Linked DNA regions of Arabidopsis thaliana. The protein of the gene in region 1 interacts with the protein of each later gene in a pairwise test. Each region holds a gene or a part of one and is shown on either strand. Other genes may lie near its edges.

Region 1 (5,028 bases):
CCGGAAGCAGAAGAAGAAGAAGAAGAAAGGAGGGATGATGATTGGTGGTTACAGAAGGGTGAGGAGATGGAAGGAGATTGGATCGGAGAAGGCCTCACGGGCGAAGCAATAGGAGTCGATCGCCGATCGGAATCGAGATCGGGAACAGAGGAGTGTGGCGGCCATCTCCGAGATGATGACGGTGGTGAGATGGTTCTGCGTTTGTGTCAGCGTCGTGTCTCTTATTATTGTTATTGGATAGAAGAAGAAGAGCATCTCCTCCATTCATCAACCATCCACCATTGCTTTTAGACAACGACCGATGAAGAAGCTTCAATTTCGCCACCAAATTTCACAAATATCAACAAAAATCAATTTCTCTCTCTCTCTCGAAACCCTAAAAACAGATTGAGGATTTGATCTTTGTTCAACTTTTTATTTATATACAGTGTCTCCCCTTTATCCTCGTCAAGGATAACGGGCATCTATTTTCTGATTCAGTCAGTTAACTGTTATCCACCCAAAACGGTGTCGTTACGTTCCTTTTTTCTTTAAATGGGCCTTCTTTCTTTGTCTTAGTCAATGTTTTAAAGCCCATACAATCTTCTTCTTTTTTTTCCACGAGCCCATACAATCTTCTTTGATGTAATGTTACTACTATTTATCAACAGATTCTTGTGTTGTTGTTGTAACAAAAAGAAAGAAAATCAAAGTGGTAGGTATTATACTATGATAATAAATCATCATGTTTGGTGTGGTGTTGAAAGAGCTGAACAAGTGAGTACAAGACTTGAATCCTTGTGACTTGTGGCTTTGCCTGTACGATGAAGTGTGCCCATATTTGTCCTTTTCTTGTTTCCATCACTCCTTTCAATATCTTCAATCCCAATCCTCTCACCACTTGTCCTATCTCCAAGAACTCCTCTCTTTCCTCACACACCATCTCTATCTGCATTTCTCCTTCCCTGTTCAATTCCTCCACCATTATCGGACATACCACTCCTTCTTCCCCCACTTCCAACGCCCATGTTCTCTCTTTCTCCTTCACCAGCTGATAAACATCATTCACTCATCAATACTCAAACACTTGTGTACTTACTGAATGGATATATTTGATTCATTACCTTAGACTCGTATGGTTGTTTGAGTCTCTCTGCATACTTGGCGAGGCTTTGCATGAACACCATGTGTTTTATGGTCAGATCCAGCAACGTATCTATGCTACACTGTTTAAATATATATCGAAACTTATTAGAGAATGCATTTGTTAATCTATAATTTGGATGCCCTAAACTAAACTATATTATTATTCAATTTACCTTAGCTCCATTTGGAATCATCCCTCGCAACTCCTTGATACGGTCTTGTATCATCTGACGGTCCTTAGGCCTCGGCCTCCTGCTTTCTCCTGCCTTTGCTCTTTTCTTCTTCACACCTTCTTCGTGAGGCTTCTTCCAGTTCCCTCCAATACTTGATCTCTCATCATCATCAATCCACAAACTCCGACTTGTTACTGTCTCCTCCTGAGGGAACAAGCTTGAGCTATGCGCCGATGATGTATCAAGCTTCCGTCTTTTGCTCTGGTTCACACCAGAGTACTCTTGCACGTTCGTGAGAGAACTACTACAAGTGTTGTTGCTAAGACTGCTGCTTATGAGCTCTGAGAAGAGTCCTTTAGGTGGCAAAGCCATTGTAGGCGTTTGAGAATTCATCCCCAAAATGTCGAAAAGATCCTTGTCAACTCCTTGGATCACCATGGAAGAGCAGTTCTGTTCTGGTGGATCAGCGAGCAGCTGGTATAGATCGTCCAGAGAGTAAGACTGGAGAATGTCGAACCCATAATCATCTCCATTGGTCAGATCTTGGTTGGAAGAAGCTGCTTCAGAGGAGATCATCTCAGGGCTGAGCAAAGAAGGAGGATTGTCCTCAGCGAAGATGTCATCAAAGCTAAATCCTTGAAAAGATTCAGCTGGGAAAATCTCACAATCTCCCAGTGACTCAAACAGAGTATCGAGATCACCGGAATCATGTGGCTTTAAACACGTCTCCTGGAGAGCTCTTGTTGTTTGTTCCAATATCTCTGTGCTCTCAAGAATCTAAAGATTGATAGTAAGTAATTAGACCATGACTTCCACAACAAGAAAACATTGTTATATAATTATATATGCAAACCTTTTGAGTAGATCCTAGCTGAACAACGCCGCTGGATCCTAGTGGAATGATTGCGATAGTCTGTGTATAAGTAAACTGCCGTATAAGAATCTGATTCAAAATGGATATATGAATCCTTAAACTTGGAGAGAAGACAAAATATAAATTACCTTAAAGCCACAGAGAAACTGATTCTGAAACTCATGTTCCCACTGCAAAACAATCAAACGCACGAATATCAAATCTTTTTTCTTCTTCATCATGAAATGTTCTATGCAGTCACTATATTTCGACATACATTATAGCTCACAGATGAGAAAAATCAAACACCAAGAAAAAGAAGTGAACAAACCTGAAACAATGTGTCTGAGAACAGCCATTGATGGTTTCCGGATGAAGCTACTTCTCCCACAATTCTAATTTCATCAAAAGAAAAGTATATTGAAGATATATAAACACAAACACAGAGACAGATATATAAAAGATTTGAGTGAAGTGTAAAAGCATACCCTTGGCCTAAGATAGGAGCCTGGAGAACCATATCATCAACTAGTGCGACTGATTGTTCATCATTGTATGCTTCTTCAAATCTCAATATCCTGATGGAATTCAACAAAACTAAATTACATTTATGGACACCAAAGTAGGGAAGCCACATATAAAACCAGAGGATATGCAATTCAGTCTTTTGCCTAAATCAACGGAAAACAAAACTAGTTTTATGCAAATATTATCCAAGACAGGAACATGCATATAACATTCGAAAGAAAAAAGAGAGAAATTACATGGAATTGATGGGATCATAACGCCAAAACACAGCATAAGACCATCCATGGCTTAAACAGAGACTCTTCAATATATGCTTATACTCTGAACCCATATTTAGGAATCCAAGCCGGGAAGAGCCCTTTTAATTTCTGCAGGATCTCGAACTCTTAAAAAGGACAACAACTTTTGTCTTCTCCAGAAACCAAACTCCAAAGATAAAGAAAAGCTGGAAACAGAGGAAAAATGTGGGTTTTTGAGTTTTCTCTTTTTTTCTTTAATTTTCTGCAGATAGAAAAAAATACAGAGAAAATTCCTTTGAGTTTTGCTTTTTGTTCAAGCAATTAAAAAGGAGTTAAGAGCTTTGTCTCTCTATATATATAACCAAACAATAACATGAAATGTTTGTAATTCGATAAGAAGTGGAAGAGCCTTTTTGTCTGAGGAATTAAATATATTACTATTATTTATTTGATGTGATTTGTCTGCCGGTGTCCAGTCACGCTTTTGTCCCGGAAGTGACGTGAATTACACCGGCTATTGCCGGTTTAGTGAAAAAGTTTGCTTTGATTACTATATATTTATTTGTTGTCTTTTGAAAAATTTAGGACGGGAGAGGATCTTCGAGGGTATAATTTCCATAAAGGGAGATTTTATTTTGATTTTACTTTTTATCATCGATTCATTAAATACTCGATACGAATTTATGATATACTTTAATAGTATTCAATATATTTAGATATGATTAATTAACTAACATTTGATGAAAATTTCTATAGTGGAAACTGGTGCAATGGAAAAATAAAAATGAGGAGAATGTGATCCCCACAACAGAGGAAGATAAATGGTGCTGTGGAGTTTCTAGCGATCATCTTCTCCCTCGTATCCTATATCTTGAACATCATATTAAAGCTTAACATCGACCGTTTTTGGTTGGAAAATATGGTTTAGAGTTATAAAGAAAGAATGACCGCCTCTTTAGTGTATGGGCCAATGAGGTTCCCAAAATATGTGTCACCTAAATCTTGAATTCTCGGTATGATAATCTTGACTTAAGTAGTTCTCAAATCTCGATCCACTGCCTCATATAATTATATCAACAGTCTAACACCAATGTCGTCAGCAGTCACATACATTCGTAGAGTATGCATTCATATATAAGCCAGATATATACATATCATAAGAGATTTGTTATACCTATATTCATCCAAATGTTTAGTTGTGGTCTCTTGTGGTACCAACCTAAAAAAAATAAGGTTATGCTTCCGCCTTAAGTCTTGAGAGCTACTATCTTTTTTCTTTAATATAACTAAACATCTTATTATTATCAGGAAACCATGCATGTTTAATTTTAAGTTTATATAGAAGATCACAAGCAAGGAAAAATGTGAATGTTAAATAGACTTGAACATTAGTTCATGAATAGTATTAAACGTGTTTTAATTTGTTACTTTATTACTTTATTTTAGCTATTTATTTGTACATGGTGCTATTTTGTACCTATGTTTTGAGTTTTCAATGGATTATTTATATCTTAAAACTTTATACTATATAAACTCTGATATCAACCTTCGAATTTCATGATTTTACTGAATATTACTATGGAAATACGATATAAAATAGAATTTAGAGAACATCAAAGGCATATATAGCAAACGTTAGAAATACATGCCTCAATATTTGAGACCCATTTTTGTTACTCGCAAGTCGCGCAACATCTCACACCACACATTACATGCCTAAGCCTAAGTGCCACAAATACATCACCTTTAAAAAAAAAAAAAAAAAACTTCTCGGCCTAAGCTAATGTACATGCACTTAATACACTTTTAGCTTCTTGATAGTGGTAGAGAATATCAATAGATATCCACAAATCTTGAAATGGAATAAGTGATTATAATTACATATCAAATGAAGAAAAACTCATCAATCAATTTATTTTTTGGGGTTATTAGAAATAGCCATAATTTGGTCTCTTATACTCATCACACGCTCAATCATGGCCGTTGAGAACAAAAGTCAACGGCATCAAGATTTTCACCTTAATCCTTTTTCGTCTTTAGTTGATTTATTGTCCCTTTTCGAAACTTTCCGTTCTTATTACAATTGTGTCCGAAAGTGGTGAAATAAATC
Region 2 (4,961 bases), on another chromosome or scaffold:
CATTTCACATCAGAACTCCGCCCAAAACCTAAGTGTTGTCTCTCTAGCAACAAAATTCAGGTGGGTGAGAGTAATTTCCAAAACAAAATTGTAGTTTTTGTGTGGTGCGATCTCTTCTCTTCTCTTCTCTTCTCTTCTCTTCTCTTCTCTCTCTCACAAAAGGCGTTTCGTTTCTGGATTGTGTCTCCCGAGACGAACATTACAGTTTTGTTCCTTCATTTTTTTATTACGCATATAAAATTATTTTTGTAATGTTTTAAAAACCGGACCGGTCCGGTCCTGCAGACCAAGAATCGTTCATGTGGCTGAAATTGGGATGAACCGGTATCTGGTCCGGTTTCTAAAACATTTAGCTGCAAGATTTATTCTGAATGGCTAGAGACATGTATTCAAAACTTATAAACTGGATGGGACTACAGTATATCACATGTCACTAGTTCTATGCACAAAAGTCAGGAAATGACAAGTGATAAGAGTCTTAATCATGAAACAATAGGCAAAAATTGCTACCATATTGACAAAAGACTGCCAAATATCCCACCAAATCACATGTCTGTTTGGCACGAAAACAAACATCTTTAATCATTTGTAAAAAAGTTAAATTAATTGTGTGTTTACCATTATAATTGGCCTATCATTGAAAATGGTTATTCAACTTTCCCATTTATGATTCTCTCGGCCACACGACTCACAGATGAACAATAACAACCACACCGACAAAATCTTATAGAAAAAGAAGAAGCAACTACATGATATAACAAACAGCTAAACGACTGAAATTAAAATTTCGCAATCCATCTTAATCATCAACTAATATGAAATATTCAATTTGCATTTTAATATCAATTCCTTCTCTTGCAACTCCGAAACATTATTTGGTTTATCTTCCAACTAGCAACAACCTGATCCCTTTGTAGCTTGACAAGAGTACCACGGTCCAATATGTCTACTACTTTGTTTAGAAACCAAGTCCACTTGCCAATGCTAATATGTCTTAGGTATCCTACAAACAAAGAACCTCATGCTTCTCGATTTTTCGCTTCCATCTTCAATGATTTAAGGTAATCAATGGCTCTATCGATGACTAAGATCGGGTCCACCAGTTCCTCCCCGGGGACTACACTGCGCAAGAGGCTTACAGTCTCAAATATCTTCTCTTCTCCTATCTTGTTACTAGACAGCTTAGAACGTTTCAGAAAACTAATCCTTGTGTTGTCACAACTACCACAGCTCGATTCAGCGTCCCGCATACTCTCATTCGAGGTTTCGAGTATCTTTCTCTTTTTAGCATTTAATGGTTGTCCATAGCTTCCAAGAAATGTTTTTTGGTCCTCACGGCCTGATACTACAATGCTTGGGGAATGGTCTGCGCTTGTAACCTCATCTTCTTCAGAGCAATAACCACTCTCATCTTCAGAGTAAAGCAATGCATTTAGTTCTTCCGAATCCTCCTTCAAATCCGGTTCGCTATTTCCTTGCATTCCGTGACAAACAAACAAATCTTTGTTGCTTCTTTGGAGCTCTTCCTTCATATCAGGACAGGCATGCTGTTTTAGGGTCTCAAAAGATTTCCGTATATCGGAAGCGAGTAGCAAAGTCGTCTGATCTCCAGACTGATCAAACACTAGGAACCTCTTCTGACTACATTGTTCCTCAGCTTTAGATATAACACCGTCTACTTGAAGAGGTACTTGCTTCATACATTGGTTTTGAGGAGGCAAGAACTGCTGCTGTAGGTGGGATGACCCATGAACCCATCCACAATACCCATCAAAATAGGATTGAGAGACTTGGGTAGAAACTTGATAAGATCCACGAGTAGAAAACATGTCGGTGGTGTCGCCGCAGGTTTTAGATACTAAATTCAAGTCTTGCTTCCCGAGATGAGACAGAGCTAGGGAAGACAAGGAACACAAGCGCTGAGTAGGAAACCCAAACCCACGATCTTGTCCCATCCAACACTAAACAAATCAACTATCCAAAACAGAGGACATCATCATCTCAAACAAATCAGCTACTTATAATCAAGAATGGGAGGTCAAAAGATTATGTGTGCAAAGACTGGAACTTACCAACTAAATGGATAGAAGAAACTAGGCTTGAAACAAGAACGATAAGTATCGAGCTACTCTACGTGACGGGCTTCAACAATTGACGGAAATATTCAGCCTGCAAAATACACAACATCAAAGCTAAAACGAAATCAATAAAAAAAAGTTCTGGTGGTTTAAAAATCTAAATATATTGCAATAACATAAACTCATCAAACAAGAAAATAACCTGGCAATCTTGGAGAGGTTGAAAGCATGCAATGACTCTAACTACAATGTTTCCTGTGATACCGTGTTCGTGTTTGAGTGTACGAAATCTTGTCTGTCCCGCTGATTGACAAACCATAACTACTTTCTCCCCAACTGATTCCTTCTCCCAAAACAGAGTATCCAAACGAAGTCTTAAATAATTTGGCGGACAAAGTAAGGGAATGTGAAGAAAAAAGACGACCCCATTACATAAAAAAGCTATGTCTGAAGTAAGATCGCAGTTTACAGAATCACACGACAGAAGACTACTACTGTACGAAAAACATAAGCAGAAAGACACAACCACCACCGCATGCTGTTGCTTTGTTGCTCTTTCTTGTTTTATCTCTGGAGTCAATCTCACTACTTCAAATGAATCTGCAAAATAAACGAGAGCAATAGATTTAGTGCTAGCAAGAAACAGAACACTTTAAAACAAATAACTTAACCTAGAAAAATATGCACAATGCATATTATTACAGAGTTTATAAGTTCTATCTCGAAAACTGAAGATAATAGAAACTCACAAAAGTGGAATGCAAGAGAAGCAAATAGAAGTTCTAAGGAGGAAGCAGAGAGATATTAGTTTCAGTGATGGCGAAGAGAAGTTAGCGAGGAAGAAGATATATACAAGAGAAAAAGACGAAAGTGACCTTCATCATAACAGAGATGCGTGCGTGCGTTAAAGTTTAGGTATCGTGATGCCACAGTGTTTACCAAATCCGATAACAAATGTTTTTGGGAAAATTAGCTGAATTTGGTGGGTTCAAAATCTAAATAGTTGTTTATTTTTCTCGATGTAATTACTAATTAGTAAGATATACTCATAATCCATATTGTTGTTAACATGCTTTTTCGGCTTATTTATATTTGGCTAAAAGATATACATTTGCCCATTTGGTGGAAAAATAAATTATGCCAAATAGCTTGTTTTGGTTGGAAAGAAGAATCAGTCGACTTTCACTTTTCATCACATGTAAACAAATTCAGCTAACGGAATCTAGTATCTTTCAATTCCACCGAAACACAAATATCATTCACATAATATAAAAATGATCATCAATGAAGCTATACAAAAAAAAAAATCCATTTGAAGCCAAAGTATACTTACTTCATGCAATCATGTTTTATAAGACGCTCGCTTATGTATTTTGTTGGTTTCGTACTTTCGTTCATCGTCAGTAAGAAAAGTAGTGAAAGTATCCAATGTGAAGAAGAAGAAGGTCCAATCATTTCTCAAATACTCTCGTTTGCAATGGCTTGACCGTTCAAACCCCAAATCATTTCTACTTTTACTTTTTACCTTTTTGCACCCTCCATTTCCATCTTCTTTGGGTTTCACATTATGTTTTGTCTTCCCATTCTGGTTGGTCTATTTTCATATGGATCTCCAAAACACTTTCGTGGAAAATGTATCTATTGCACTTATAGTGAAAAAACGATGAAATATGTGACGATAAATATAACAAGAAGAAAGGAAAATCCTACAAGACAATTGATTGCTCTTCATCTTTTCTTTATTATAATCTCTTCCAAAATATGTATATTTTTCTATATATACTAAAGTGTTAAGAAAAAAAAACAAGCTTCATTATCATTATAAGACTTCCGTTTTCACTATAGAAGTAGGAACGGTACAAGTCATACTCACTGACTTATAAAAATACAAACAAATAATGATAACATAAGAACATTATTATTGAGATCATAATTTATGACCAATCCACAATAATTTATATTATGAAAATATAAATTCAATATTAGATACTGTAAGATAAGTTTCGAAGGACAAAAAAGGAGATAATTTCTATACAGAAACCCAAATGAACAACCTGCATCACCAAAAATTACCAAGTTAGCCAAAAAAAGTTTTTTTAGCTAGTTAGCCAATGACTTAATCGTATATTATCAATCATAAAACTTGATACCAAAATTATCTAAACCTAATTAATCCCCCAGAAGAAACAGACACGTTCTCTCTTGTCAGAAAATGGCACTGACTAGTAATAATTATACCCAAGATATTTTTCATTGACAATCAAAGACATCTGAAACTATATTCAATAGTGATAGATGTAGAAGACCCATGATTTAGTAACCTGAACCAAATCTTTGATGTACAGATAAGAGAGATCTGGTTGCTCACAATCATACAAGCAGAGTAACATTTAATATTACCACGCCAAATATTTAAGTTATACAAAAACCATTAGGATAATATTACTAATCCGTATAGTATATAAATTAGGATTAATTAAAAGTGGATACACTTAATCCTTACTGGCTTTAATGGTGTCAGGGGCCCAAAACAAACCCTCCACCGTTTCTCTCTTTCTGTGTGTCTCTAAAGCAATCATCATATCCTAGGTCCACCATTTTTATACACATAAAATAACACTCTTCTCATTTTGCGTGGTTAAAAAAAATACACATATATGAGATGTTTTTTTTTGATAAAGACACATATATGAGATGTTGATTTGCTATCTTTTATGTTCTTCAATTCAACAAATGTTCTCGAAAAATATGACATAATAAACTGGCTGAATATCAAGATCATAGTATAATGTGCTCCAAAATGTTGGACCGAGAGTACTTATATAACATCTATATAGTTTACATATATTCACAAAACGCATTAAAAATGCTACATATCACGAC

What was found. Proteins that work in one complex are often made in the same cells at the same time.
Region 2: the proteins of AT1G64625 (region 1) and AT5G50010 interact in a two-hybrid assay, tested with the Arabidopsis thaliana proteins (one large-scale study listed by BioGRID).

What each region holds. Positions count from the first base shown.
Region 1 is NC_003070.9:24,014,860-24,019,887, reverse strand, and holds AT1G64625 (Serine/threonine-protein kinase WNK (With No Lysine)-like protein), read right to left. Parts: upstream 3,233-5,028; 5' UTR 3,011-3,232; coding exon 2,916-3,010; intron 2,730-2,915; coding exon 2,640-2,729; intron 2,547-2,639; coding exon 2,483-2,546; intron 2,343-2,482; coding exon 2,301-2,342; intron 2,242-2,300; coding exon 2,152-2,241; intron 2,076-2,151; coding exon 1,299-2,075; intron 1,206-1,298; coding exon 1,104-1,205; coding exon of another isoform or gene 1,059-1,103; exon of another isoform or gene 1,031-1,058; coding exon 707-1,030; 3' UTR 617-706; downstream 1-616. UniProt on the Arabidopsis thaliana protein: Transcription factor that may regulate root development.
Region 2 is NC_003076.8:20,346,550-20,351,510, reverse strand, and holds AT5G50010 (transcription factor bHLH145), read right to left. Parts: upstream 2,897-4,961; 5' UTR 2,828-2,896; intron 2,679-2,827; 5' UTR 2,281-2,678; intron 2,170-2,280; 5' UTR 2,073-2,169; intron 1,975-2,072; 5' UTR 1,956-1,974; coding exon 1,020-1,955; 3' UTR 681-1,019; downstream 1-680. Other genes in the region: AT5G50020 (DHHC-type zinc finger family protein), read right to left, coding at 270-301.